4 linked regions of the Lonchura striata genome follow. Each later gene encodes a partner of the first gene's protein in a complex. Links are inferred from orthologs where the notes say so. Each region holds a gene or a part of one and is shown in the gene's direction. Other genes may lie near its edges.

Region 1 (7,005 bases):
ATAAAAATACTGCTTCTTGGAAAATGATCAAATTTGTATCCATCTTTCATGCTCTAAATGACACAGCTGGCAAAGGCCTGATATTCCTATTTACTGCCCTCAAGAAACTGCACCTAAAAGGCCTACTAGGAAAAGGAAAAAAAAGGGGTTATATTTCATGTTTTAGTTGGGCTACAGTGGTACAGCAAGTGCAGCATTATACATAAATCAAATGCATTTGCATTGCAGAGCAGAGCATGGAACAGCCGCTGCTGGGGCCCCGCTCCTAATTTCTGACACATCTTTTAACCTGCTCATTTAAAAGCACTTACTTTGCATCCTTCTCCTTAAGAATTAGTGGGATATGAACCATGAGGTTTCCTAGATTAGGAATGTCTGGATAATAAAATGCTGTGGAACAGGATTTCCAGTGGAAGCAGAATCCTTTCAGCAGTACCTGGGCACTGGGATCAGCAAACCTTGGCAGCTGATCCCACGCTGGCCCTTTTGTAAACATTGAGTTTATTTTTCCTCGTTTATTTGCCTTTCATTGAGCTCCAACAGGAAAAATATATGGCTCAGCGTCCCTCCCACCCTGGTCTCTGTGAGTTTTTGTTTCACATGGTTATCACAGTCCTTCGCCTCCTCCAGTGTTTACATAAAGTTACAGCGCCCACAAAACAGCTCCAAAAACTTTATTTGTATTTTAAAATAGTCTGCTTGAAACCAATCTTAATGCATTTCTCTCTCGTTGTAGTTCCTCGTGTTAAATAAAATCAGCAGACCCTCAGTGATGCCAGAGGGGCCGCGTGGTGCTGAAAGCCCCGAGTCGGGGAGGCAGCGGGGACATCGGCAGCGCTGCCAGCGGCTCTCCACGCAAAGCTAATGGAAAACCTTTTAAAAACCACCCAGGCCTGGCACATTTGGGTTCTTTCTGGAGAACCAAGAGATGCAGCTCTGTCCACGCTCCCAAGGCTTGGCTGGGTGGCACGGCCCGTCCAGAGACACCCCTGGGATGTGTCTGTGGCCCTGCGGTGTCCTGGCAGGGATGGTGACAGACGCCACACGCCAGATAAGAAGTGATCATCACCTCGAATTTACAAACAGCGTTTCAGTTCCCTGTGTCAGGATGGCACTGCCCACTCCCAGCTGGAGCACAAGAGCTGGGAAGGGAAGTGCCAGGAGGGGCCGGTGAGCTCCGCTGCCGGAGCTGTGCCGCTCCGGCCGCGGCTGCCCAGCGGATCCCGGCGTGGATGGCTCAGCCAGCTGTGTGCCACGCACCTGGAGTGTGGGAATGCCTCCAGCAGAAAGGAGCAAACTCCAGGAAAATAGCAACAGCAAAAGGAAAAGGAGCAGCTGCAGGAAAAGCCTCGCTGCCCAGTCCCCGCCAAACCGCGAGGTTCCCTCTGGAGTGAGCGACCCAAATGGATTCGCTCCTTTCCGCTTATTTATTCCTTAGCAGCAATGACTGTTAGCAGGTTTATTTACATTGACAGCTTGCATTTATTTTCCTCCCTCTCCTCGTCAGGCCTTGGAGCATCCCACCAGGCAGGGAGAGGGAAGAGCAATGCAAGCAGCTGCCACAATATTCGGTGACAGTGGGAGGCAGGGAGCAATGGCAGAGCTCTGGATAAACAGAAATGTCTTCCCAGAGAAATAAATCCATGAAAATGGACTGGGGGGGCTCACTGAAAATTCTGGTCTGTGCTAACTGCTGCCCCTTTCCCTCCCAGCCCCAGCCATGGTGTGCTGGCATGTGGGAATCACTGCAAATCCAAGTAACGTGAAAACAAGACAGCAGAAATCACAGCAAACCAAACAATTTTATTATTTTTAATATTTAAAAATTAACCTTTTATTGCTACCAGCCCAACAAATAAACACGTACAATTTAACTGATTCTGCTTCCCTGTGCCCCCTCACTGTGCTCCAGGGACCTGGGATCTGAGCACATCATGGGGTGTGGCTGTTCTCAGAAAGGAAAAACAGCAGGGTTTTGGAAATTTAAAAAATGAGCATTCCCAATCCCCCTGGGACGATTTGAATTGTGGTGGTGCTACCTCTGCTCGTCTGGCTTTTCTCCTTTAAGTCCCCACCTGTGTGTGTCCTTTTGGGCTGGCTTCCAGGAAAAATTCCCACTGGCAGTGTGCTGTGTTTTCTGTTTGCATCCAGACATGCCCCAGCATGTGCAGAGGAAATCTCTTTGCTTGCAGTTAAATCTGCATAAATAAAACAAGCTGTCACCATCCACTGCTGTGGGAATTATTTTCAAGCTTACACACACTTTCCTTGTCTTATCTTAAGCTCAGAGTTTCTCTGAAAAAGTCAGACTGGTATTTTTGGATTTTTTTTTTTTTTTTCCTACATGCAAAACAGTAAGTTTGATCACCTGGAAGCACTGTTTAAAATGGACACACACACACACACACACCCCCAAAGTATCAGCTTTGTATTTCACTCCAAAGGCACAACCTGTGTGGTTTCAAGTTCCTGGTGCAATGCCAAGGAAACCCCTCCAGCAGCAGATTCCAAAGGACAGTTACCAGAGGGAAATTACAAGTTTGGACAGTTCATTGCTCAGATCTCAAAAAAAAAAAAAAAAAAAATTACTTCAGATGCCTCTTAAAAACCGACCCTTTTCTCCCAGACAATCTGGGCTTTGATGAACTGTTATTTTGCAACACAGTAAGATTAGTCAGGACTAATCCAGCTGGATGCTCTGTAGCAAGGATTAGGACAAACAGGTTCTGTGTGACAGAGCTGGGCGATGACAGGCCACAGCCCCAGCCCTGCAGCTCTGCCTGGGAAACCTCCTGCCTCCCAAGTTTCAGCAGGAATAACAATAAGCAATGATGTTATGTGCCTAATATCTGCATTATTCTCCCTTGGAAAGCCCTCGTTTCCATTGCTCCCATTTTGAGGACAAAAACTTGTCATTTTTGAGTAGTTGGCTTCTTTTTTTCAGCAAGATTATTTGCCTTGCCTTCCCAGTAATTTATTTTCTACATAACTTATTAATTCCCCACATATGTGTTTTGCTAGAGAGCCAAAACTGACTCTGAGAAATAAGTATTGTGCAGCATCTCCAACTGAACACTCCAGTGATAACACAGACCTAAGGAAAGTGATGAGGAAGAAAACATCTAATACTGCTATAAAGAGACACTTCATTAAGGTAATTAAGAGAATCATTTAGAGCAGTTATGAGGATTATTAAGACACAAAAGAAATTATGCAATGGGGTTTACACAAAGCAGGCAGAGTTACCATTGGTTCATGATGCCTTTAAGAATAACTTTCAGTGGTTTTAATGAGTTTTTGAAAACAGAGACTCATTTCTTGGCAAGGGATGGAGTTTCCCTACACCTGGGAAAAGCATAATCAGGATCTTTGTGGGGTTGTTTTTTGGTGGCAAGAGGACTTGTTAGGTTTTTTTAATATCACAAAAAGGTTTGGGCTGGGAGGGGCCTTAAAGCTCATCCATGCCATGGCAGGGACACCTCCCACTGTCCCAGGCTGCTCCAAGCCCATCCAGCCTGGCCTGGGGCACTGCCAGGGATCACAGAATCCCTGAATCGTAGTTTGGAAAAGACCTCCAAGACCACTGAGTCCAATCCTGGGCCCATCACCACTGAGTGCCAGTCCTGCCACTCCTTGGGCACCTCCAGGCATGGGAACTCCATGAAGTGTTTCTGGTGAGCTGGCAAATAACCAAACAGCTTGTTAAATTGTGAGCAGCTTGTTCAATCTTCAAAGCCCATTATCTGCCCCAAATCACCCCCTGAGGTTACACAGATTCACGACAGGCGTTGTGCCCCACTGCAGAGAGAACTGTGAAACCTCAGACTCTGTCACAGATGCAGAACATGGCCAGGCAGTCGGGAATTTACCCTTTGCCCTTGTGAAGATGGGCTCTCCCACCCTTGGCAATCCAACATGGACATTTCTCCTTAAAAACCTTGGGGCAGAGACATGCTGCCCTATTGTAAGTGCAGGTGAACCCACTGGGAAAAAATGCTGATGTCTGCCTCCAGTTCAGAGCGCTGAATGATTTCTTTATTATAACTATACTACAATACATTAATATACTATTTAAAGGAGATACTAAAACTACAAACCTACTTTTTCTAAGTCCCATATAACTCACTCATAACTCGTGCCCCTCTCTGAGAGCCCAGCCCCAGGTGGGTTGGATTGGCCATCAGGCTCAAACAATCCTCACCTGAATCAAACCAATCACCCCAGGTAAACAATTCTCCAAACACATTCCACCTGGGAAAAACAAGGAGCAGAAATAGAAATTGTTTTCTCTCTCTTTCCTCTGTGCTCCCCTATGAAAAATCCTGGGAGAGAGAAGAATGTGCCTGTAACACTGCCCTTCCACTTCGGGGGACAGAGCTGGGCACAGAACCGGGCACGGCGGGAACAGAAGTGGGGACAGAGCCGGGCACACAGGCGGGCACAGCACAGAGCAGAGCCGGGCTCGCAGCCGGGCACAGGGCAGAGGCAGAGCCGGGCTCGCAGCCGCGGCCATGAGGGCAGAGCGGGCCCCGCCGCGCCGCGGTGCATTGTGGGCCGCGCCCGCTCTTGGCGCCAAGCGCGCCCGCCGTCCCGCGCGGTGCATTCTGGGCCGCGCCCTCCCCGGCCGGGCCTAAAGGCGCGGGGAGCCGCACCGGACGTGACGCCAGCGGCCTCCGCCGTTTGAGCCGCTACCGGGAGGAGCGTCTTTTATATGCCGCGGGGACCGCAGTCTCCGCACGGTATAACGGAACTCCCGCAGCCTCGAGACCCCCGTACGGACTCGGCTTCTCCGCGGCGGCAAGAACCGAGGGACTACTTTGTGGCGGAACCGCGCATGCGCGCGGCGGGAGGCTGAGGGCGCGGCGGAAGACGCGCGCGCGCTCCGCTGAGCCGCCGTTGCTGCGGGCGGTGCTGCGGCCGGTGGTGCGGCCCGCGGTGGGATCGGTGCGCGCAGAGGCCGCGCGAGCGGAGGCGCGGGCGCCATTTTGGAGCGGCGCTCGGCGGTGAGGTGAGGCGGAGCGCCCCGAGAGCCCGGCCCGGCCCCGCACCGCCGCCAACATTGCCGACCTCGCCATGTCCGGCGGCGGCGTCATCCGCGGCCCGGCCGGCAACAACGACTGCCGCATCTACGTGGGGAACCTGCCCCCCGACATCCGCACCAAGGACATCGAGGACGTGTTTTACAAGTACGGCGCCATCCGCGACATCGACTTGAAGAACCGCCGCGGGGGCCCGCCCTTCGCTTTCGTCGAGTTCGAGGACCCCAGGTGAGCCCCCTCCGGCGCTGCGCTGGCCCCCCGGGCTGCCCGGAGCCCCCCGGGAGCAGCGGGCCGCGGTGGCGGGGCCCGGCGGGGAGCGGCGGGCGGGCGGCGCGAACAAAGGCGGGCGGGGGTGCGGCGGCCGCGCTCACCGCCCGCCCCGTGCCGCCCGCAGGGACGCGGAGGACGCCGTCTACGGGCGGGACGGCTACGACTACGATGGGTATCGCCTCCGCGTGGAGTTCCCTCGGAGCGGCCGCGGCACCGGCAGAGGCGGCGGGGGCGGCGGGGGCGGAGGAGCCCCCCGGGGCAGGTACGGCCCGCCGTCCCGGCGCTCGGAGTACAGAGTGATCGTCTCGGGTGAGTCATTGCTCTCTCTTTCTCTCTTAGCGTAAGCGCTCCCCCGGGGTCCTGCAGGCGCGGTGCTGCTGCCAGCATCTCCTTAAAAAGCATGGCCCCGTGTGCTTTGGTGTCCCCGCGATGCTGAGCGCTCCTCTGCTCTGCTGCTGCAGTACAGGAGGTGAGGCTCTAATCCGGTTTTAAAGTCACGTTTTGGTTTTTCCCTAGGGCTGCCTCCAAGTGGAAGTTGGCAGGATTTAAAGGATCACATGCGTGAAGCAGGTGATGTATGTTATGCTGATGTTTTCCGAGATGGCACTGGTGTCGTGGAGTTTGTGCGGAAGGAAGACATGACCTACGCTGTGCGAAAGCTGGATAACACTAAATTTAGATCTCACGAGGTAGGTATCACACTTATTCTCTTTGGCCAGAATTGGATACAAGGGGCTTAACAGTAGGATTTGAAGGTAAGGAACGCGTGGTGGTCGCTGTTTGGTTAGGAGGCAGCTAAGTGAGTGTGTGGTCAGGCCGGACATAGACGTGTAAGCTCTGCTGTGTGTCCCGGCCATAGTAGCACTGTCTGCAGTCTGTCAGCATGCCTGAAACATGGCCCTGAAGCCTCGACGTGTCAATCGAAAGTTCTGTCTATCCAATAGGGAGAAACTGCCTACATCCGTGTTAAAGTTGATGGCCCAAGAAGCCCAAGCTATGGAAGATCTCGGTCCCGCAGCCGTAGTCGTAGCAGGAGCCGTAGTCGCAGCAACAGCAGAAGCCGCAGTTATTCCCCAAGAAGAAGCAGAGGATCTCCACGCTACTCTCCCCGCCACAGCAGATCCCGATCTCGTACATAAACATCACTCTAGCTCTGATCTTTTTGTAGAACCCCATGTTGTACACAGTTTTCCTTTACTTAGTACAGTCTTTCATTTTTTTTTTCAAATTCCAACTGTTTTACTCGAATTGGCTGAAGTGTTGAATTGCATTCTTGTGTAAAATCCCTAGTGAGTATTTGCTCCTGGACACCGACATTCCCCTCCTGTCTTTGGTAAATTGTATTTTAATTGCTGTCAGTCAGGATTGTTCTGGTTTAGTTCTAGTTCGATACCAACATTCTTGGAGCCGTGGTATTGCTGTGTAAATGTCTCAGTGTTCCGCTGTGGTCGAGACGAGCTGGGGATGTTGGGATGTTTGTGGCTAACTTGTCTCTTCTGGGGGATCTTACATTTTATCTTGCCTTTTCGTGTGTCTTTCTGTAGACATATCTGAAGAGATGGATTAAGAATGCTTTGGATTAAAGGATTGTGGAGCACATGTCAATCATTTTAGGATTGTCAAAAGGAGGATTGAGGAGGATCAGATCAATAATGGAGGCAATGGTATGACTCCAAGTGCTATTGTCACAGATGAA
Region 2 (8,110 bases), on another chromosome or scaffold:
GGGGATCTGGGGGATCGGGGGGATCTGGGGGGCTCGGGGGGATCGGGGGGATCTGGGGGATCTGGGGGATCTGGGGGGATCGGGGGGATCGGGGGGCTCGGGGGGCTCGGGGGGATCTGGGGGGATCGGGGGGATCGGGGGGATCTGGGGGGCTCAGGGCAGGTTTGGGGTGTCCCCCCTCACCATCCCCCTGCTGTCCTCAGGCTGGGGGGTCCCAGGGTGGGTTCGGGGTCCCATGACCAGTTCGGGGTCCCGGGGCGGGTTCGGGGTCCTGGAGCCGGTTGGGGTCCCGGGGCCGGTTGGGGTCCCGGGGCCGGTTGGGGGTCCCGCGGTGAACTCGGGGTCCCGGGGCCGGTTGGGGTCCCGGGGCCGGTTGGGGGTCCCTGGACAGGTTCGGGGTCCCGGGGCCGGTTGGGGTCCCGGGGCCGGTTGGGGTCCCGGGGCCGGTTGGGGGTCCCGGGGCCGGTTGGGGGTCCCGCGGTGAACTCGGGGTCCCGCGGTGAACTCGGGGTCCCGGGGCCGGTTGGGGGTCCCGGGGCCGGTTGGGGTCCCGGGGCCGGTTGGGGGTCCCGCGGTGAACTCGGGGTCCCGGGGCCGGTTGGGGTCCCGGGGCCGGTTGGGGTCCGGGGCCGGTTGGGGGTCCGGGGCCGGTTGGGGGTCCCGCGGTGAACTCGGGGTGTCCCCCAGCCCGGGGGCTCGCGGCCGCCGCGGCGGGGCCGGCAGGACTCGCTGGGCCGGTCGGTGTCGGAGTCGTCCGAGGGTCGCGGCGCCGGCTCGGAACCGGAGCCGGGCGCGGGGGGCGGCCCGGCCGGGAGCCTCGGGCGCGGCCGCCGCCCGCGGGGGGACGGCGCCGGCCCGGGGCACCGGGAGAGCCGCGCCCCGCCGGCCCCGCCGCCGCCCGGCTCCCCGGGCAGCGAGGAGGACCCCGACGGATACGTGACCCCCACCTGCGCCCTCCGCGGTGAGGGGGCCCGGGGGTCCCATCGCGATGGGAGTGGGGGCTCCCCCTGTCCTGGGGGTCCCTGTGGGGCTGGAATGGGGCTGGGGGTCTTGGGGAGGGGGTTTCCATCCCATTTGAACGGGTTTTGGGGCTCCCCCTGTCCTGGGGGTCCCTGTGGGGCTGGAATGGGGCTGGGGGTCTTGGGGAGGGGGTTTCCATCTCATTGGGTCGGGTTTTGGGGCTCCCCCTGTCCTGGGGGTCTCTGTGGGGCTGGAATGGGGCTGGGGGTCTTGGGGAGGGGGTTTCCATCCCATTGGGTCGGGTTTTGGGGCTCCCCCTGTCCATGGGGGTCCTTGTGGGGGTCCCATCGCGATGGGATGGCAGTGGGGGTCTTGGGGAGGGGGTCTCTATCTCATTTGAACGGGTTTTGGAGCTCCCCCTGTCCTGGGGGTCCCTGTGGGGGTCTCATCCCGCTGGAATGGGGCTGGGGGTCTTGGGGAGGGGGTTTCCATCCCATTGGGTCGGGTTTTGGGGCTCCCCCTGTCTTGGGGGTCCCTTTGGGGGTCCCATCCCTCCAGGGTTTTGGGTTGGGGTCTCTTGTGGCTCTGGGGGCGGTCCATCCTATTTTTGGGGTGGGGTCCATCCCCTGTTTCTGGGGGGGGTCCCATCCTGCAGAGTTTGGGGGGGTTCATGTGTCTCTGGGGGGGGGTCCATCCCCTGTTTTTGGGGTCCCATCCCGCACGGTTTGGAGGTTTCTGTGGGGTTCCATCCTGTTTTTTGGGTGGGGGTCCCATCCTGCAGATTTTGGGCGATTCATGTATCTTTGGGGGGGTCCACCCCTATTTTTGGGGTGGGGGTCCCATCCTGCAGAGTTTGAGGGGTTCATGTGTTTCTGGGGGGGTCCATCCCCTCTTTTTGGGGTGGGGGTCCACCCCGTTTTTGGGGTGGGGTCCATGCCCTGTTTTTTGGGGTGGGGGTCCACGCCGTTTTTGGGGTGGGGGCCCACCCCGTTTTTGGGGTGGAGGTCCACCCCGTTTTTGGGGTGGGGTCCATGCCCTGTTTTTTGGGGTGGGAGTCCACTCCGTTTTTGGGGTGGGGGTCCATCCCGTTTTTGGGGTGGGGGTCCATGCCCTGTTTTTTGGGGTGGGGGTCCACCCCGTTTTTGGGGTGGGGGTCCATCCCGTTTTTGGGGTGGGGTCCATCCCCTGTTTTTGGGGGGGGTCCCATCCTGCAGAGTTTGGGGGGTTCATGTGTCTCTGGGGGGGTCCATCCCCTCTTTTTGGGGTGGGGGTCCACCCCGTTTTTGGGGTGGGGTCCATGCCTTGTTTTTTGGGGTGGGGTCCATGCCCTGTTTTTTGGGGTGGGGGTCCACCCCGTTTTTGGGGTGGGGGTCCACCCCGTTTTTGGGGTGTTGGGTGCACCCCCTGTTTCTGCGGTAATTCCGGGGCTGCTCTTTCCTCATTTCGCCCTGCTCTGAGCCCAGCCGAGCCCCCCCAAACCCCTCTGGCACCCCTGGGGACCCCTGCCCGGTGCGTGACCCCCTCCCCACCCCCGGCAGACCCCGCCGCGGGCTCGGTACCGGCACCGGCGGAGGAGGAAGAGGAGGAGGAGGAGGAAGAATACGAATACATGAACCGACAACGGGGGGGATCCCGGGGACCCCCCCAACCCCGCCCGGCCTCGCTGGAAGAACTCGGCTACGAATACATGGAGGTGAGCCCCGAGCCGGGGGGACCCCCGGGAGCCCCCCAGCCGGGGGGACCCCGCCAGGAGGATGATGAAGATGAGGAAGAAAACTACGAGTACATGAACGAACAACCGCGGCTCAGCCGCTCGCTGTGCGCCGTGCCGGGAGCCCCGGGCCACGACGGCTACACCGAGATGAGAGCGGCCGAGACCCCCGCGACCCCCGGCGGGGCCGAGCAGGGCTACGAGGAGATGGAGGCGGTGGCGCGGCCCCGCCGCTGCCGCGGGGCCCCGGCCATGAAGGCGCTGCGGAGCCTGGAAGCGTCGGACTGCGCCTTCGACAACCCCGACTACTGGCACAGCCGCCTCTTCGCCAAAAGCGATGCCCGGCGGACGTAGGGGACCCCCTTGAGACCCCCGAACGCCCCCCTGCATGCGAGACCCTCCCCCAAATTCCGGGGGTTCCCATCGGATGTGAAGGATCCCCCCCGGGTGGGGTTTCAGCGCCTTTTCGGTCTCTTCTCGCTTTGATTTTTGATTTTTTGGGGTTTTTTTTAGGGGCGGGGATTGAGGCTGAGCACGCCCAGGTGGGGAGGGGGCAGCGGAGACCCCCGGGATTCCCCTCCCATCTTGATTTACCCCCTTGAGACCCCCGAAACGTCCCCCTCCATCCGAGACCCTCCCCCAAATTCGGGGGGTTCCCATCGGATGCGAAGGATCCCCCCCGGGTGGGGTTTGAGTCCTTTTTCCGTCTCTCCTCGCTTTGATTTTTGATTTTTTTTTGGGTATTTTTGTTTTTTAGTTTTATTTTGGGGGGGTCTCGAGCACGCCCAGGTGGGGAGGGGGCAGAGGAGACCCCCGGGATCCCCCTCCCATCGTTGATTTCCGCCCTTGAGACCCCCGAACGCCCCCCTCCATCCGAGACCCTCCCCCAAATTCCGGGGGTTCCCATCGGATGTGAAGGATCCCCCCCGGGTGGGGTTTCAGCGCCTTTTCGGTCTCTCCTCACTTTGATTTTTTTGGGGTATTTTGTTTTTTCGTTTTATTTTGGGGGGGTCTCGAGCACGCCCAGGTGGGGAGGGGGCAGCGGAGACCCCCGGGATTCCCCTCCCATCTTGATTTAAGCCCCCGAGACCCCCCAAAACCCCCCCAAATTCGGGGGGTTCCCATCGGATATGAAGGATCCCCCCAGGTGGGGTTTCAGCGCTTTTTTGGCTTCTCCTCGCTTTGATTTTTTTGGGTTTTTTTTTGGATTTTTTGGGTTTTTTTTTAGGGATGGGGGGGTGAGACTGAGCACGCCCAGGTGGGGAGGGGGCAGCGGAGACTCCCAGGATCCCCCTCCCATCGTTGATTCCTCCCCCCCCATTCACTGAAGGTGCTCCCCAAATTTTTGGGGGTCCCTTGGGGGTCCCTGGCCCCACCCGCGGGTGCCGGACGGGATTTCTGAAGGACCCCCGACTCATTTCCAGGCTCCCCATTCCCTGCTGAGTGAAGGTTTTGGGGTGTCCCACCCACGAGGGACCCCCGGGATCCCCTTTTGGGGTGTCCCCCTCCCCTGACGTCACCCGGGGTCCCGTTTTTGGGGTGTTTCTCCCGGTTTTTCGGGGGTTTCCCGGTTTTGGGGGGGGGGGTTGGAACCCCCGTTCAGGGATCGCCCCCGGTCCCGGGGGGGGGTCGCGCGTGATGGAAATAAATGAAAATAAAAGAATTTAGTTAAAACCTCGGAGGGGCTGGACCGGGGACACCGGGGGGACACCGGGGGGGACACCAGGACCGGGCTCCGGGACACCGGCAGCCGCCGGTACCGGTACCGGTGCTTGGGGGGGGGTCACGGGGGTCGAGGGGAGCACCGGACCGGGGTGTCCGGTGGTGTTGGGACCGTGGGGGTGATGCCGGTGGGTGGCTCCGGTGTCACGGTCCGGGAACACCGGGGACCGAGAGCGGGGACCGGCCCCGGTGTGGCCGCGGTGCCGGTGCTGGGGTTGGGGGGGGTTGAATGGGACGGGCGCGGCGGGGCTGGGGGCTGTGAGTGGGAGCGTTGCTGCAGGGTTGAGCCCAGGAACGTGGCGAGGAAGCGCTGGCAGAGGGAGGAGCAGAACGACCGGTCCCGGCGGCGTCCCGGCACCGAAATTCCGCACCGGCACTTCCGCCTACAACCCCCATCGCCCCCCGCGCGCCGCTTCCGCTCTCACCCCCCCACCCCTTCTCGCGAGAGCCGCGCTGCACGCCGGGAGTTGCAGTCCGCAGCGCGAGGGTGGGCGCGGCGCAGCGCGCTCCCGTCCGGGGGCTGGGTTTGCCCGCGGGGGGTGATGGGAGTTGTAGTCCAGGGGGGCGTGGAGGCCTGGCGTTCCCAGCGTGCCCCGCGCGGAGCCCGCGCTCTGCCCTGCTCGCGCCTCCGGTCTCGCGGTCCCGGGGCTCCCTCAGCACCGGGGGGGGGGGGCGGCTCCAGCAGGCCCGGGGGGGCACCGGGAGGGCTCCGGGGGGCTCCCACCATGTCGGGAGAGGAGGAGGCCGCCGAGCTCACCATCGCCGAGGACCTGGTGGTGACCAAGTACAAGATGGGGGGGGACATCGCCAACCGTGAGTGCGGGCCGCGGTCGGTGCGGGGGGGGGGGGGGAACGGCGGGGGGGGGGGGGGGGGGGGAGCGGGTGGGACCGGGCGACCCCCGCCGGTGGGAGAGCCCCGGGTTCGGGGGTCCGGTGGGCTGTTCGGGGCTGGGACCCCCCCGCGTGTCCCGGTGGGACCCCCCCGGGGCTCGGTGCCCTCCCGGTGCCGGCGGGGCCCGGCCCCGCGCCGCCGCCGCCGCCGCCGCCCGCACGTGGTACCGCGCCCCACGTGCACCGGCGGCGCGGGGAGCGGGGCCGGGCCGGGCCTGCCGTGCCCCGGACCCTCCCGGTGCCGCTTTTGTTCCGGTGGGACCCCCCCACGGACCGGGGCTCCTCTCCGGTCCCGGTTAGCGCCGGGACGGGATGGGAGCGGGACGGGAGTCCCGGGGGGGCGGCCCTGGCTGGGTTTGGGGGGTGGGGGCTGACCCGGGAACGGGGTCCGGTTCTGGGGACGGGGTCCGGTTCTGGGAATGGGGTCCGGTACTGGGGATGGGGTCCGGTACTGGGAATGGGGTCCGGTTCTGGGAACGGGGTCCGGTTCTGGGAATGGGGTCCGGTACTGGGAACGGGGTCCGGTATTGGGAACGGGATCCTGTCCCAGGAACGGGGTCCGGTTCTGGGGATGGGGTCCGGTTCTGGGGATGGGGTCCGGTTCTGGGAATTGGGGTCCGGTATTGGGAATGGGGTCCGGTACTGGGAATGGGGTCCGGTACTGGGAATGGGGTCCGGTACTGGGAATGGGGTCCGGTATTGGGAATGGGGTCCGGTATTGGGAATGGGGTCCGGTACTGGGAATGGGGTCCGGTTCTGGGAATTGCGGTCCGGTTCTGGGAACGGGATCCTGTCCCGGGAACGGGGTCCGGTTCTGGGGACGGGGTCCGGTTCTGGGAATGGGGTCCCGAACCGGTCTGGGGATCCTGTCCCGGGAACGGGGATCCTGTCCCGGTCAGGTTGTGGATCCTGTCCCGGGCGCGGGGTCCGGTACCGGGAACAGGGTCCGGTCCCGGTCCCGGGGCTCCTGTCCCGGTCAGGTTGTGGGTTCGGTACCGGGCACGGGTCCGGTCCCGGGGCTCCTGTCCCGGTCAGGTTGTGGGTTCGGTACCGGGCACGGGTCCGGTCCCGGTCCCGGTCCCGGTCCCGGTCCCGGGGCTCCTGTCCCGGTCCAGGACATGGATCCAGTCCAGGGCACGGGTCCGGTCCCGGTCCCGGGGCTCCTGTCCCGGTCAGGTTGTGGGTTCGGTACCGGGCACGGGTCCGGTCCCGGTCCCGGGGCTCCTGTCCCGGTCAGGTTGTGGATCCTGTCCCGGGCACGGGTCCGGTCCCGGTCCCGGGGCTCCAGCCGCCCCGCTCCCTCCCTTTCCCGTTCTTTCCCCTCGCTGCCGGTGTCCCGGCTCCGGGAAGCCGCCCGGACCGGTTCCGCGGGGCTCCCCGGTGTCCCACGCCGCTTCCCGCTGACTCCAGCGCTTCTGTGGAACCGGCGCCGGTGGCCCGGGAGGGGATTCGGGGATTGCGGAGCCGGGATTCCCTTCGGGCTCCCGGGAGAACTGGAAACTCGGCCGCCTCCCTTCCCGGGGGCAACGGCAGCTCCGCTCCACGGAGCAAAACCCGGCCAAAAACCGGTTTTTTAGGGGTAAAAATCGGTTTTTTAGGGTTAAAATTCGGTTTTCTAGGGATAAAAATCGTTTTTTTTAGGGATAAAAAGTGCCTTAACTCCCTAAAAAACATGGGGAAGGAGGGAGGGATTCCAGGAATGTTCCTGTTCCTCTGATCTCTTGGAATGCTCCGAGGGTTTTCCACCTTTATCTGCTTTTATTTTATTTTTTTTTAATTTATGTTTTATTCCCCGCTCCGTGTGCCGCCGCCTCTTATCGGGAATGTTATCCGTGCTTTCAAATGTTCCCAACTTTCCCGTGGAAAAAGGGGCTGGAATTTGAAGGCCTCGCACAGGTGACAGGGCCGCAGAATTCCCGAGGATTCCTTGGAATCCTGAGGAAGGTGGGACAGAGGGGAACAGAGGGGACATTCCAGGATCCCGGGATATTTTGGGGTCACATCCCGGGATTTTTCGGGATCCCATCCCAGGATATTTTGGGATCCCATTCCAGGATATTTCGGGATCCCATTCCAGGATATTTTGGGATCCCATCCTGGGATCCCATTGAAGGATCCCAGGATATTTTGGGGACCTCATTCCAGAATATTTTGGGATCCCATCCCAGAATCCCAGGATATTTTGGGATCCCATTCCAGGATATTTTGGGATCCCATTCCAGGATATTTTGGGATCCCATCCCAGGATATTTTGGGATCCCATCCCAGGATATTTTGGGATCCCATCCCAGGATATTTTGGGATCCCATTCCAGGATATTTTGGGATCCCATTCCAGGATATTTTGGGATCCCATTCCAGGATATTTTGGGATCCCATCCCAGGATATTTTGGGATCCTATCCCAGAATCCCAGGATATTTTGTGATCCCATCCCAGATCCCAGAATATTTTGGAATCCCAGAATATTTCAGGATCCCATCCCAGCATCCCAGGATATTTTGGGATCCCATCCCAGAATATTTCAGGATCCCATCCCAGATCCCAGAATATTTTGGGATCCCATCCCAGAATATTTCAGGATCCCATCCCAGCATCCCAGGATATTTTGGGATCCCATCCCAGGATATTTTGTGATCCCATCCCAGATCCCAGAATATTTTGGAATCCCAGAATATTTCAGGATCCCATCCCAGCATCCCAGGATATTTTGGGGTCCCATTCCAGAATATTTTAGGATCTCATCCCAGCATCCCGGGATATTTCGGGATCCCATTCCAGGATAGTTTTGGATCCCATTCCAGAATATTTTGGGATCCCATCCCAGG
Region 3 (7,083 bases), on another chromosome or scaffold:
CCAGCCTTCCCCCTGTGCCCCGGCACCAGCACCGAGCCCTTCCCTGTGCCCCGGGACCCGACACCGAGCCCTCCCCTGTGCCCCGGCACCGGCACCGAGCCCTCCCTGTGCCCCGGGCCCGGCACCGAGCCCTCCCTGTGCCCCGGGATCGGCACCGAGCCCTCCCTGTGCCCCGGGATCGGCACCGAGCCCTCCCCTGTGCCCCGGGATCGGCACCGAGCCCTCCCTGTGCCCCGGGACCGACACCGAGCCCTCCCTGTGCCCCGGGGCCCAGCACCGAACCTTTCCCTGTGCCCCGGGATCGGCACCGAGCCCTCCCTGTGCCCCGGGCCCGGCACCGAGCTCTCCCTGTGCCCCGGGATCGGCACCGAGCCCTCCCCTGTGCCCCGGGCCCGGCACCGAGCCCTCCCTGTGCCCCGGGACCGGCACCGAGCCCTCCCTGTGCCCCGGGACCGGCACCGAGCCCTCCCCTGTGCCCCGGGATCGGCACCGAGCCCTCCCTGTGCCCCGGGACCTCCTTGGGCTGTGCGCGGGGCCGGTGCGGCACCGCCCGGCATCCCCCAGAGCATTGGGATGTCATCTCCCAGCCCCTGAGCTTCGTCTTGGCTGCCTCAGCCTGCTGCCAGCCCATCTGGTTTCATGCTGAGACGAGAAATTCGGGTAGTAGTAAAATGCTTTTCACTGTTAGGGTGGTCAGGTGTTGGAACAGGTTGCCCAGAGAAGTGGCAGAGCTGCCATCCTTGGAGGTCTTTAAGTCTGGTAATGTGGTTTAGTGGTTTATAGATGTTACAGTGTTTAATGAGGTTGGACTTCATGATCTTTAAGGTCTCTCCTCACCTTGCAGATTCTATGGAGAAATAAAAACATTACATGCCTGATCTGAGCTTCACAGTGCTCATAGCTCTGAGGACAAACAGACCCAAGGCTGCTGACAATCTCAGAGGGTTTGGATGCAGCTCCTGACCCCTCAGAACAAGGCCCTGTGTGGGATAATGTTCCCCTGACCACCTTCAGCAGAGACTCTGCTTCCAGGAGGGCCCCCAAAGTCACTGAGCCCTGAGTTTGCAATGGGATGAATTCCAGCCAGAACAGCTTTCCTGAGAATTGAGGAAAACACAAGTGACAACATCAAATTTGCTTTCAGTTATTAGCACAGCATGATCAGAACTGATAACCAAACATTTAGTAATTTTACCTAGATCTGCAGATTTGGGTTAGGATTGGAGCTGTGTCACCTTTTTGTTCTACTGAAATATTAATATTATTTCATTTTTCAAACAAAACCTCAAACTTTATTTATTACTTTTTTTTTCATGGGTGGCAATAGAGGGATTCAGTGGAGCCTGTAAATTACAAAATGTTTTATAGTGAAGCCTGTAAGGAAACACCATAAAAGCCTGAAGTGTTCTTCCAAGTTCTAACACTGATAAACACAATACACACAAGATGTGAAACAGTAATTAAAAGAATTCCCAGGGGTATATAGATGTGTTAGGTGGCTTGTCAGGCAAAACCTTTTATCCTGGATACAGAAAACCTGAAGTCAATTGTCAGGTTTAGCACTGCTCGGGCATATGACATTGAGCAAGTTCACCTCAATGCTTTCCTTCTCCATCATCAACAATAGGATGATCACATTGACCTTTGCAAGGTCTCCTGAGATCTACTGATGAAAATTACTGGGTGAGTGTATGATCATCATTCTTTGTACTACTGCTTCTGAAACACAATAGATTGCAGTTATTACCTTGAGACATACAAACCTAGAATGTATTAATGTTTTCAGGTACAGAGTTGTTATTTAAAGCAGTTATCTGGTGACTAAATAGATAAATTATACAAATCTCTGTAACACTGAAATTGGTTAAATGCATGCACATTAAATATAATGTATTGTACTTTCTGGCACTCTGAGTCTTGAAGTATAGATTCATCACTGTAACCAAAGATCATTTAGCTTCTATGCTTGATTCTAATTTAAAATCTACAGATGGTAATCTGCATACCTTCAACAGCAGTCACATCTGTGGGAGGAAAAAAGTGTCCATAGGCTTAAAATTCAATTCTGTTTTTTACTGGATTTTTTTCTATTTTTAATACATATGGGAAGTAAGAATAAGTTCAGAGTCATTTAAAAAGCCTTTTAGGAGGCTGCACAAAAAGAGTCCACTGCAAGAATTTGTGAATAATGGATTTGGTGGCCATTTTGACTCTTCCTTTTATTCTTGTGTCTACCTTTTGTTCTGCCAAAACTAGCTTGGTTATTGTTGCCCCTTCTAGACCTTGTCCTAGGGGATCAGTGTATAGCTCCCATTATTTGTCAAACTCAAATAGACTGATCCCAAAGCAGGCTCTGCTTCTGTATCCACTTTAAGAGAGTGGTACTGTCAGGGCAGAACCTCTCTTGGAAAAAGCTAAAATACAAGCAGAAGCTTAATTAAGGGCTTGTAGAATTGTCCTGAGTTGGTTTCAAAGACTAAAAGAGAACTAGTCCTGACATTTGTTTAAAGAGTTTGTTCTTTGAGTCCTGGAATGCACATTATTTCGAATGCATAAAGCACACTTTAGATAGATTAAATATCTTTTCCCTGAGAGGTCTCAAAAAGCAGCTTTAAAGAGGAGACATCAGGGACCCTGACAATTTTCTAGAGATGGGTTCTTGCCCATATCTAGTTTAATACCTCCACCAATTGTCTAGATGATGCAAAATATTTATTAGGAAATTTTGTAGCCTAATAAATTAGTGGGTAAGTCACAATTGTCTACAAAAATCATCTGATGTGTCCAATAAATCATCCCAGTCCAGTAAATTGCATTTTTAATAGCATAAAATGTAAGGAAATACATCTGGAAATAAAGAATGCAGAGAAGGGGTTAGAATGGCAAAAAGTACCTCAAAAAAGAATTTAGTTGTTATTATTTCAGTGTGACCTCTCAGGATAATACTGTGGTAAAATGGACTACTCTAACTATTTACTGTATAAAATACAGAATATATAAGGGAAACAGGGAGCGACACTGTCTTTGTCCACAGCACAGGGACATTGCTGCACCATTTCTGACACCCACGGTTAGGGAGGGAGGAAAACCACAGGAAATTATTAAAAGGAGGAACATAAATTAAACCACGATATAAAATAGAGGCGTAGGAAGCTCAAGCTATTCCGGTTACCGAAGGCTAAGCTGAGAGGCGACGACGGCAGCGCACAGACCACTGCAAACGGCGAGAAGGTCAAGTCAGACAAATCCCTGCGGATCGCGTGCCAGCATTACCTGGCTGGCTGCACCTGACGGGCCTCTGCCACAGCATTTCAGCCACCAGCTGGGCCCGCCGCCCCGGGCGAAGAGCTGTGCCGGGCGGCGTTCACTGCCGAGCGCGGGAACCGTGCTGCCGCGCAGCGGGGCGGGGGCGCGTCCCGGTGACCGCGCGGTCCGCGCCGCTCCCGCGGAGCGCACGCCGCCGGCGCGCCGCTCTCCCGCCCCGCGGGGGCCGCCCCTCCCGCCGCCCGCCGGGGGCGGGGCCGCCGCATGTGACGGACAGGTCGGCGGGCCAATGGCGCGTGGCGCGGCCGGCAGCGCGCGGCGGCGGGGCGGGGCCGCGCCAATGGCGCTCCGGTTGCCGGGCGCGATCGCAGCGGCGCCGCCCAATGGGAAAATTCGCGGCGCGGGAGGCGCGCGCTGGTTCGCGTGCGGCGCGCGACGGTCGGCGGCGCGGGCGCGCGGCGCGCGGCCCCTCACGCCTCCCGCGTTCCTGCTCCCAGGTGCGAGTGTTGAGGAATGTGCCCCGCTTGGAAAAATAAATAAAGAAATAGAGAGATGGGCGGGCGGTGGCATCATGGGCTGGCCGGGCAGTGCGCTCCCGTTTCCCCGCGGGCCGCTCCGGTTGTTTTCCGAGCAGTAGTTTGGGGAGGGAGCGCGTTTTCCAGCCGTGCCCTTGGACCTTTTTACTTCAGGAGCACCGTCAGCGGCCAAGCCGGAGTGCGGGAGCGGGGACCCCGTGGGCCCGATGGTAACGAGCCCATGTGCTCTGTAGAAAAGGGGAATTCCCCTGTGTGCTCCAAAAATCACAGCAGAAAAGGTATATGCAAGAAAAGGGTTAATGAGTATTTCCACCTCCCCCTCCTTCCTCCCCCACCCCCCGTTGGATAAAGATGGTCTTGGATACCCTTTGTAAATAGGAATGTGGAGGTGGGAGGGGAAAATCAGCCCGGCTCCGACTACTCGGCGGCCTCGGTGGGTGAGCGGGCGGGAGGAGCTGGTGCAGCCCGGGCGCTCTCCCGGGGAACGCGCGGGGGACGGACGGGCACCCGCGGGGCGGGCGCGGCGGAGCGGCTCCTGCGCGGGCGGCGGGAGAGGAAGACAAGGGCTGACATGCTGCCCAGCGCCTGCCCAGCGCTGTATTGAAGAGTTGGGGGGGTTGCCCCTTTTTATTTTTTTTTAAACATTTTTTTTTTTTTTTTTTTTTTTTTTTGTGCGCCACCTCCTTGAAGCCACTAGCAGCAAGGAAAATAAGCTGAGGACAGAGAAATAAAGACGGAGATGGTGAGCAGATCGCTGGGTTGGGGGGGAATGAATGAGGTTGCCGGGCTATTTTCTGTGAGGTTCTTGCACGGTGTAGTACGTTTTGGGGTGATTTTGCATCACGATTCCGTGCTAGACTTCTTTGTTTGCTAAAGGCTGCTGGTTCAGGTTTAACAGCGTTCATCAGTTTATTGTGAGATGCGCAACGAGGAGTTGATGTATGCGAATGCCTGAATTACATACGCAAGCCACACACACAAGCAAGCCCTAAACAAACCAACATTGTAATAATCCTGCAATATGATGGGCAGCTCGTGTCATGGAGGGAAGTCATTGCTCAGGTTATTTGTGGTATGCATAGGAGATGAATCTCTTTGTAGCAAAGACCAAACAAAATTAACCTATTTTTTCACACACGCGATATCCATTACACACTTAAGAGCCAGAGTTAGGGGTTATTTTTTAATTTTCGCTTTCCCTGCAGTATTGAGGTCCACGGTTAAAATCTGACGTTTGTAGAAGTTGAAAAACTCTTTGAAATGTTCACTTCTAGTGAATATGAAATAGTAAAGACTGTCTTTCGTGTTTTTTCCCTTTTTTCATGAAGGCACTTGTTCGTGTGTGAAAGGGGGAATTCTTAAAACACGCACTTTGCTTGTTACGCTGTACTGTTGTGCCTTTAGGTAGGTCACAATGCAAAACGTGATTCATAGCATGTTAAAAAAAATAACTCTAAGTTGTTTGTTTTTTTTTTTTATCAAGTGAAGACCTGTTATCGTTCCAATAGCTTAAACCCTAAATACAAGTTTTGCGGGGGGAGGCGGGAAACAGCCCTCCTGATTTGTATTAATGGAAATGCTTTATGTTAAAAAATCCTGCTTCTAAATGACAGAATATAGACATTGCCTGATTGTAACTTCCTGTGGATAAGGTACTGCAATCTGCTGAATACAGTAGTCCTTTAAGGCTCCATAAATTTAGACATATTTTGTTTACAAAATTGTGTAGCACTGCATGGTGCAATAGTAAAATCTGAAATTTTAGTGATTTTAGAAGTGTAGCAAGGCACTGCAAAAGAGAAAATATGCAGCCTCGTATTAAATCTCCTATGGAAGAAAAGGAAAAGGTTTGTTTGTAATACAGGGTATGCACAGCAACTAAAGTAACTGCAGGGGCTGTAGAGTTTGGAGTTTGTATAGAAAAAATAACTTGTGAACTATGCTGGGGTCTTCATCCTGCAAGGTATTTGGATGGATGATTCTTAAATTTATTTTAAGCAGCATCTCTGTCAGTTCTTCTCTGAAATATTTAAATTATATGCTCTATTAGGCAAATGGGTTTATCTTCCATTGCTTGGTTAAAGGAATGCATTTGGAAGGCAGGAACAATAGTTTAACTGCGTGGTTCATCCTTGTGCATTGTTCAGAGATCACAGTTTGCATTTTATTTGACATTGGTGATTTTTATAAAGTGGACTTTTTTATTTTATTATTATGCCATAGTTGCTGTCAAATAACTGAATTTCAATTTATAGTTTTGATGTACTATTTGGCCAAAATAGATGAAAAATAGTTCCCTTCTTTGAATTTTGTCTATTAAATTCAAAATCTCTGCAGTTGATTTCAGTATTAGAAAGTTTTTAATATTGGAAGAACCAACAAGAGCCACAAATAGAGGGAGTTTCCCATTTTGAGTTAGGACACTGTACTAGAAATGGCAAAATTCCTGCCATTTGCTTCTACTTCAAATTTTGTACAAACTGTAGTTTAGTTTAGATATCTTGTCCTGAAGACCATCTGTATGCATATTACAGTTATATAAAACTAAGCTTTTATACTTGATTTTATGTAATGCAACACATTATATCTGCAGTGCTTTTGGTGGATCTTGAGTACTGTCAGAATTGATACACTGCAAGAAAAACCTGTTAGAATTCTTGTGCTACCAAGTTTATAGTTTGTCGGTCTTAATATTTTATTGTGTGAGTATAAATCATTGACACAGACATTGTAAACAAATGCTGTAGCAGCTGAGTATGATTTTACATTTGGCTTGTGTCTTTCCAGTTTAACCAGAGTATGACAGTATTCTGTCAGGTGTGGTGCCATCCTAATAGCCATCATAGTTAACCTTCAAAGCACTTTGGTAAATTTTTTCAATTTCTTGTCTGTCTTTACAAAATAAAGAGGAAAAGGCCAACTCTAGGTTACACCAGTATAAGTAGGGAAGGAATTTCACATGTGTTGCATGCAGGTACCTTATTCAGACTTCCTGTGTATCTCTGGAAATTAGCAATGAGATTTTAAAGGTTAAAATCCACCTATTTGTAGAAAAAAGTTCTTTCCGATATGCAAGACATCTAGAGTACACATGTAACTTGACAAAATATATTTTCTTCACAGAAGGGCATTAGAGGTTTCATGTGTTTAAGCATTAAAATAAGAACAGGGAGATTTTCTTAAATTTCAGGTAGGATGTGGTCTACCTGTGAGCTGAAGCAAGGCAGTAACCACCTGAGCGTCTGAGAAAAGAAGCAATCAACTTAGATAATGAAGTGACTTT
Region 4 (7,217 bases), on another chromosome or scaffold:
CGGGAGCATCCCCGGTCACCTGCCTGCACCTCCTCTGCCACCTGCCAAGGGCTGTGCCCGGGCCCTGCCTGCACACCTGGGCCGTCCCTGCACACCCAGGGCATTCCCTGCACACCTGGGCTGTCCCTGCACACCTGGGCTGTCCCCTGCACACCTGGGCCATCCCTGCACACCTGGGCCATCCCTGCACACCTGGGCCATCCCTGCACACCTGGGACATCCTCTGCACACCTGGGCCACCCCTGCACACCTGGGACATCCCTGCACACCTGGGCATCCCCTGCACACCTGGGCTGTCCCCTGCACACCCAGGGCATCCCCTGCACACCTGGTCCATCCTCTGCACACCTGGGCCATCCCTGCACACCCAGGGCATCCCCTGCACACCTGGTCCATCCTCTGCACACCTGGGCCATCCCTGCACACCCAGGGCATCCCCTGCACACCTGGTCCATCCTCTGCACACCTGGGCCATCCCTGCACACCCAGGGCATCCCCTGCACACCTGGGCCATCCCTGCACACCTGGGCCATCCCTGCACACCCAGGGCATCCCCTGCACACCTGGGCCATCCCTGCACACCTGGGCTGTCCCCTGCACACCCAGGGCATCCCCTGCACACTGTACCTGCCCTGCTGGGCTGTGCACGGCCTGCCCATGCTGCCTGCACAGGTGTGGGCCCAGGGAGGGAGTGTGACCCTCCCTGCACACCTGGCAGGGGTGTCACATCCCTGTGCACACCTGGCAGGGGTGTCACACCCCTGTGCACACCTGGCAGGGGTGTGACCGCCTCCACGCACACCTGTGGCCGGTGTGAGGCTGGTCGGGATGCGGCCCCTCCTTGCACACTCGCGTGTCCCCGCTGAGCCACCGCCGTAATCCGCTTTGGGGACAAAGAGGATGAGCTGGGGGGAGGGGGAAGTGACACGGGGGCCACCGAGGGGGAGTGCGGGTGTGAAAATGAGGTGAGGGTGTGTGTGCAGGTGTGTGACCCAGCAGTGACACTGCAGCTGTAGAGGGACTGACCACGAATCATGGAGCTCAGGCCGGGCTGGGCTGGAAAAGACCAGGAGAGGAGCTTGTCCCACACACCTGCCACGGGCACCACCACGAGGGGACGCAGGGGCTGGCCCGGGCGGGGCACAGCGAGCACCGCTGGCCTCAGGAGCCACCTCATCATTACTCAACAGTGACTATGGGGGAAAGGAAATTAAAGGAGTTTTCCCCCAAAATCCATCTCAATCCAGTGCCCCTGCCTGCCGACACATCGGGTCTGACTGCCGGCATCACCTAACCAGGAGCTGAGATGAGGAACAAGGTGGGATCAAGGCCCCAGGAAACCCCCCCATCCCAAAATCCCATGGATTGAGATGAGGAACAAGGTGGGATCAAGGCCCCAGGAAACCCCCCCATCCCAAAATCCCATGGATTGAGATGAGGAACAAGGTGGGATCAAGGCCCCAGGAAACCCCCCCATCCCAAAATCCCATGGATTGAGATGAGGAACAAGGTGGGATCAAGGCCCCAGGAAACCCCCCCAATCCCAAAATCCCATCACAGCTGCAGATGGAGTTTTCTCCCCAGATGTGGGGGCTGGCAGAGCCCCCCTCAGTAGCTGCTCATGTCTATTGTAAATGCAGGTGACCCTGGTAGGAAGAAATTATTATGTTCAGAAGTCTGAATGATTTCTTTAGTATAACTATACTATAATACATTAATATACCATTTAAAGGAGACACTAAAACTACTTACTTTTTTTAACTGCTATATTTAACTAACTTACAACTCGTGCCCCTCTCTGAGTCCAGCCCCAGGTGGGTTGGATTGGCCATCAGGCTCAAACAATCCTCACCAAGCACTCACCCCAGGGAAACAATTCTCCAAGCACATTCCACATGGGAAAACAAGGAGCAGAAACAGAAATGGTTTTCTCTTTCTTCCCTCTGTGCGTCTCTGTAGAAATGCTGAGACAGAAGAAGGTGCCTGGCACACGCGGGTGTCCCCCCCGGCTGTGCCCACGGCGCCTGGCCCCGCGTGGGGCTGGCACTGTGGGGGAGGATTTTGGGGACGTTTGTCCCTGTGCAGGTCGGGCCGATGTCCCCCTGTCCCGCCCGAGGCCCCGTCCCACCCGCTCGCGCCGCGGTGGCTCCTCAGCCGATCCCAAAGTGCAAAAGGCAAACGGCAGGGGAACAGCGGGTTAACCACCACAAGTGCACCTTTACGGGGGGCCAGAACAGCAAATGCCACGGAGGGGACAGAAAAGGGAAATAAAGGACGGAGAGAAAGGGGGGAAGGGGACTAGAGCTACCACTGTCAGGACTAGATCCTCGACGGCCCAGCCACAAGGATTTGCCATCGTCCATGGCGGTGCACCGCAGTCTTCCCAAAAATTAATTTACACGGCCTTTGTCCAAAGCGAGTGGCGCCTGGCCCGGGGGGAGATCCCTGGGGCACTGTGAGGAGCCCGCTGGGCTGTGGAGCAGCTGGGGCACGCAGGACAGGAGCAGCCCTGCCTGCCACAGCTCTGGAACGCGGCGCCCTGTGGAGCACGGGCAGCGCCCTGCACACAGACCCAGCGAGGGTCCCCCTGCCCCCCGATCCTGGCACGGCTGCCCCGGGCTGCCTGCCTGGTGCCTTTCTCCCCGTTCTGCCCTGTTTGTGTGCAACAAAAAGCTTTGCACCTTTAAGGCTCGTTCCAGGAGTGAAGGGGGGGGGAAGGAGCGCAGTTTGTTTTCAAGAGCTGCACTCCCTCCTCCACATTCCTGCTCCTGGACTGAGTGTCTGCAGACAGACAGACAGCGAGACAGAGCTCTCCTTTGCTTTCCTAGCTAGCTTTAGCTAGCTGAGCAAAGCAGTTCCCTGGACTGGGCTGTTTTCCCTTTCTCTGGACTGAACACCAGCAGAGCAGCAGCAGCTCCGGGCCTGGGCCGTGGCATTTCCAGCTCTGCAGGGCCGGATCAGAGACTGAGTGAGCCCAGCTGCAGCCCGGGGGGTTTCTGAGCTTGTCTCTCTCTTGGAGTGGCAAGAAGTTTTATTGTTTAATATTGTTTAGGTTTGCTTGTTTAATAAACAGGTTTTTTCCACTTTTCTCCAAGGAGGTATCTTTCCTGTGAAAAACACCAATCACTTGGTTTTTTAAAATTTTAAAAGTTTAATAATAATAAAATGGTTATAAAAATAGTAATACAATTAGAGTAATAAAGTTTAGAGTTAGGACAATTACAAGACAATAAAAAGCAAAGAATTACAGACATCTGGATGCTCTCGGACACTAAGTCACAAAAAGCATGACTTGTGAACAAAGGAATAACCTTAAAAGCAATAACCTGTTACATATTCATATGTCCTTCATGGTTATGCATATATTCTATTTAAAACAAGAACTCTGTCTGTTGTATGTCAAGTGTTTCCTTTACTCCCCATGGTGTGTTCGAGTCTGAGTAATGCCTGAAGAAATTAGCTTCCTCTGATAAGAAAACCGTAAATTTCTCTTCTCTGGAAGATTTAGGTATTCCTTGAAGCGAGTATCTCATTCCTTAAAAAACCCCTTCACATAGCAGAGTTTCTATTTTAACATCGTGCTGGAACCTGAAACTGTATTTAACACACCGAATACAGCATCACTTTCTGACATGACACATACCATATTCGTTGTAGCATTTGCGAAAAGCCAATCATAAAATACGCATTTTTCACACTGGGGGTCTCTGGAGCCCTGGGGACAGCCCGGAGGTGCCGGGGGGTGCCGGGGGGTGTCGGGGGGTGTCGGGGGTGCCGGGGGGTGCCGGGCCCCACGCCCCGGTTTTTTTGGGGGGGTGGGGCACGGACCCTTCCCGCCGCGCCGGGTGCGCCCGGACACATTTGCCCGCTGCACCGCCGGAAGCTCGCGTTGGGCAGGGCGCGGGGGGGGCGGGGGTGGGACAAACCGTGGCGGGATGGAATGGAATAGGACGGGACGCGATGGAATGGAACGGAACGGGACGGGACGGGTTGGGATGGGATGCGATGCGATGCGATGAGGTGGAAGAGGCGGAACGGGGCGTAGCGGGCAGCGGCGAGGGCGGGCGGCGGAACGGAAGGACGCGGAACGGAAGGCGCAGGGGCGCGTTTCCGGGGGCCGGCCCGGCGCGGAGCGGCGATGGCGGCGGGCGGGCGGCGCTGAGGGACCGGCCATGGAGCGCGGGCCGGGCCGGCCCAGCCTGCAGCTCGTCCAGCAGGCCGTGCAGGCGCTCTACCACGACCCCGACCCCAGCGGCAAGGAGCGGGCGAGCTGCTGGCTGGGCGAGCTGCAGCGCTCGGTGAGAGCCGCGGGCGGCGGGTACCGGGCCCGGCTCGCGGGGAGGCCTCGGGCCCCATCCGGGTGGGGCGGGGCAGGGAACGGCGGCCCCTTGGCGGCCTCGGGGAGCCTCTGCCCCGCCGCCGCCGCTTCCCGCTGCTCTGCGGCTACCCCATTCCTGAGAGCGCTCTGCAGAGGGACCGGGACAAGGCCTGCAGGGACAGGACCCAGGGAATGGCTCCCACTGCCAGAGGGCAGCCATGGATGGGAGATTGGGAATGAGGAATTCCTGGCTGGGCTGGGATTGCCAGAGCAGCTGGGGCTGCCCCTGGATCCCTGGCAGTGCCCAAGGCCAGGCTGGACACTGGGGCTGGAGCAGCCTGGGGCAGTGGGAGGTGTCCCTGCCATGGCAGGGGTGGCACTGGAGGGGCTCTGGGCTCCCTTCCCACCCAAACTGTTCGCCGGTTCCGTGATTAGCACCAGGAACAAGGGGCTGGAACGTTTGGCACAGTGCTGAGGCAGCTGGGAAGGAGGAATTGGCTCCCGGAGGGAAATTTGGGCTTCTTCTGCCGGCCGGGTCAGATCCGTGAGGGGATGGAGCCGAGCCCTCAGGACACACCCCGGGTTTGGGGTGTTGGTCGGTGTTCTCCTGCTGGGGCTGCTCTGTCCCCCTGCCTCAGGGGTGGTGCTTCCCCGCCCGGAGCTGGGCAGTTCCCGCTGTGCTCCCCCTTTCCCCAGGGCCAGGATCCCTGCCCTGGGGCCGGGGAGGAGCTGTGTCCTGGCCCTGCCTGCTCTGGCTGACCCAGCTCTGCCCGGTTCCCTTCCAGCTCCAGCCCCTTCCCGCTCCCTGGCCAGGCTCGCCACTCTTTGTTCCCACAAACTCGTGTTTTCCCATTTCCCCCCGAATTCCTGCAGTGCTGCAGCTCCCATCAGAGTTCCCAAGGGACTGTCCACGGCTGGGTCTGGGGGCTCTGCTGCTGCTCCCCCCATTTCCCCGGGGCAGAAGCAAGATCTCGAGGCAGCTGGAGGAGGGGCATTCACATTTCAGGGCTGGGTCCTGTCCCGGGCCCCAGGATTGCTGTTGGGTAAAGAGGTGTTCCAGGTCAGGCTCCCCATCCCCTGCAGAGTTTGGGTTTTGGGGGCTGATCTGTATTCCCCAGTATCTGGGAATCTGGGGGGGTCTCTGCTGCAGTTCCTCGGGCTTTTCCCTGGGCTCTTTCTGATAGAACATTAGCAGTAATAACAGCAATAATAATAATAATAATAATAATAATAATAATAATAAAAACAGCAATAACAACGTTGTTACTGACTCAGCTCAGCCCCAGGGCAGCAGCAGTCCTGCCTCTCCCCTTCTGCTGGGTCATTCCCCCTGCTTCTCTCTGAGCTCTGAGCTGCTCCCAGAAGGAACCCCACTTATTCCTGGGGTGTTCAGGCCCAGCCTGGCTCCATCCAGCGCCTCCCTCTGCTCGGAGCTGCTGAGTTCCCCCAGCCCTGCACAACTGGAGCTCCCTGGTGTGGGCTGGCAGCGTGGGATGCTCCAGGGGACCCTGCCCGGCTTGGGGTCACGGTGACCCTGGTGGGACAGGAGTCACTGTGGCCCTGGTGGCCCTGGCTGGGTGCAGCTCTTTGTCCCTCAGTGTCCCCGTGCCCTGGTCTGGATGGAGGCACTGGCATTAACCCCCCAAGGAGTGTTTGCTTGGATCCCGTTCTGTGCCCAGCCGTGTCCCTGCAGTGCCACCCGTCACGGGCTGTTTGCTGGCACCCCTGGGCTGTCCATGCCCTGCTGGGCTGTGTCACGTTTGCCTCTGCTGGGACGAGCTCTCAGGGTAGGGTTCCCACTGGCTTTTGCCTTTCTGGGGTTGTAATCACAGAATCCTGGGATGGCTGGGTGGGAAGGGACCCCAGAGCCCCTCCAGTGCCACCCCTGCCACGGCAGGGACACCTCCCACTGCCCCAGGCTGCTCCAGCCCCAGTGTCCAGCCTGGCCTTGGGCACTTGTAGGGGCAGTTTGGCTGACTGGGAGTGGGGACAGGGAAATCCTGGGAGCAGGGAGATCCTATTTGGAACAGCGAGATCCTTGGCTGCAGGTGCAGTTTGGGTGACTGGGATCAGGGACAGGGAGATCCCAGGGTCAGGGAGATCTGGGAACCTGCAGATCTGTGGCTGTGGGTGCAGTTTGGGTGACTGGAATCAGGGACAGGGAGATCCCAGGAACAGGGAGATCTGGGAACCTGCAGATCTGTGGCTGTGGGTGCAGTTTGGGTGGCTGGGAGCGGCGCTGCCCCAGCCCTGTGGGCACAGCTGTGAGGAGCAGGTGAGCAGCACTGCCAGCTCTGAGCCGGGCAGTGCCCGGGGTGCTGAGCAGCACTGCCAGCTCTGAGCCACACAGTGCCAGGGGTGCTGAGCAGCACTGCCAACTCTGAGCCAGGCAGTGCCCAGGGGTGCTGAGCAGCCTCACAGGGAGCAGAGGGCACACAGGTGCACTGCATGAACATGGGGGGATAAAAGGGGGTGAAGAACAACAAGGGCACGTGCTTGGAGCCTTCTGAGGTGGTGTGGTGTCACTGTGTGGGTTGAAGCCGTCTGAAATTGTATCTGTGGGATACATCCCATCGTAGGGATGAGAAGGCAAAACCTGCAGTGGAGTTTGGGTGCCTGGATCACTCTGTGGGGGTTCAGGTTTGGCACTGGGCACCCCCAAACCTAAGGGAGATCCCTGCAGTTCCCATCCCTGGTATCTCTGGCAGGACGTGGGTTCAGGTTTGGCTCTGGAGGGCCCTGGGGGCTCAGGTGTGTCCCTCAGCTCCCCCAGCTGCCTCGTTCTGGCCTTTGCTGCTGGTTATTCCTGGGAAATGGGGCCGGACGTGGCAGAGCAGCTCCGAGCCTGCAGAGCACCGGGGAGCTCAGCTGAAGGTGCAAGTTGACCTAAATCCCAGAA

Evidence for each region.
Region 2: SRSF1 (region 1) and PA2G4 share a complex: the UniProt entries of both Homo sapiens proteins name them as parts of the ribonucleoprotein complex. The link is inferred for Lonchura striata from reciprocal best matches to the Homo sapiens genes SRSF1 and PA2G4.
Region 3: SRSF1 (region 1) and ARVCF share a complex: the UniProt entries of both Homo sapiens proteins name them as parts of the ribonucleoprotein complex. The link is inferred for Lonchura striata from reciprocal best matches to the Homo sapiens genes SRSF1 and ARVCF.
Region 4: the proteins of SRSF1 (region 1) and TNPO3 are in contact, whole or in part, in a crystal structure (PDB 4C0O), measured with the Homo sapiens proteins. The link is inferred for Lonchura striata from reciprocal best matches to the Homo sapiens genes SRSF1 and TNPO3. Residues at the interface, in NP_008855.1 of Homo sapiens: Ser116, Arg117, Arg118, Ser133, Trp134, Gln135, Lys138, Asp139, Arg142, Glu143, Gly145, Asp146, Cys148, Tyr149, Ala150, Asp151, Val152, Tyr153, Arg154, Val172, Arg173, Asp176, Asn177, Arg181, His183, Tyr189, Ile190, Arg191, Arg198, Pro200; in NP_036602.1 of Homo sapiens: His155, Arg157, Arg160, Thr167, Tyr254, Ile256, Glu257, Glu304, Glu340, Ile341, Phe343, Asn344, Tyr347, Arg348, Glu351, His352, Lys355, Thr356, Arg620, Asn656, Glu660, Arg661, Arg664, Arg667, Phe668, Arg671, Ser698, Cys699, Tyr702, Ile706.

The regions. Positions count from the first base shown.
Region 1 is NC_134622.1:10,652,173-10,659,177, forward strand, and holds SRSF1 (serine/arginine-rich splicing factor 1), read left to right. Parts: upstream 1-4,936; 5' UTR 4,937-5,073; coding exon 5,074-5,267; intron 5,268-5,433; coding exon 5,434-5,618; intron 5,619-5,825; coding exon 5,826-5,998; intron 5,999-6,253; coding exon 6,254-6,448; 3' UTR 6,449-6,466; downstream 6,467-7,005. UniProt on the Homo sapiens protein: Plays a role in preventing exon skipping, ensuring the accuracy of splicing and regulating alternative splicing.
Region 2 is NC_134629.1:9,434,145-9,442,254, forward strand, and holds the start of PA2G4 (proliferation-associated protein 2G4), read left to right. Parts: upstream 1-4,966; 5' UTR 4,967-5,118; coding exon 5,119-5,206; intron 5,207-8,110. Other genes in the region: ERBB3 (receptor tyrosine-protein kinase erbB-3), read left to right, coding at 688-961, 2,499-3,025. UniProt on the Homo sapiens protein: May play a role in a ERBB3-regulated signal transduction pathway. Seems be involved in growth regulation. Acts a corepressor of the androgen receptor (AR) and is regulated by the ERBB3 ligand neuregulin-1/heregulin (HRG).
Region 3 is NC_134620.1:8,197,086-8,204,168, reverse strand, and holds the start of ARVCF (splicing regulator ARVCF), read left to right. Parts: upstream 1-3,935; 5' UTR 3,936-4,078; intron 4,079-4,205; exon of another isoform or gene 4,206-4,237; intron 4,238-4,320; exon of another isoform or gene 4,321-4,490; 5' UTR 4,491-4,542; intron 4,543-7,083. UniProt on the Homo sapiens protein: Contributes to the regulation of alternative splicing of pre-mRNAs.
Region 4 is NC_134607.1:73,051,145-73,058,361, forward strand, and holds the start of TNPO3 (transportin-3), read left to right. Parts: upstream 1-4,127; 5' UTR 4,128-4,172; coding exon 4,173-4,298; intron 4,299-7,217. UniProt on the Homo sapiens protein: Importin, which transports target proteins into the nucleus. Specifically mediates the nuclear import of splicing factor serine/arginine (SR) proteins, such as RBM4, SFRS1 and SFRS2, by recognizing phosphorylated SR domains.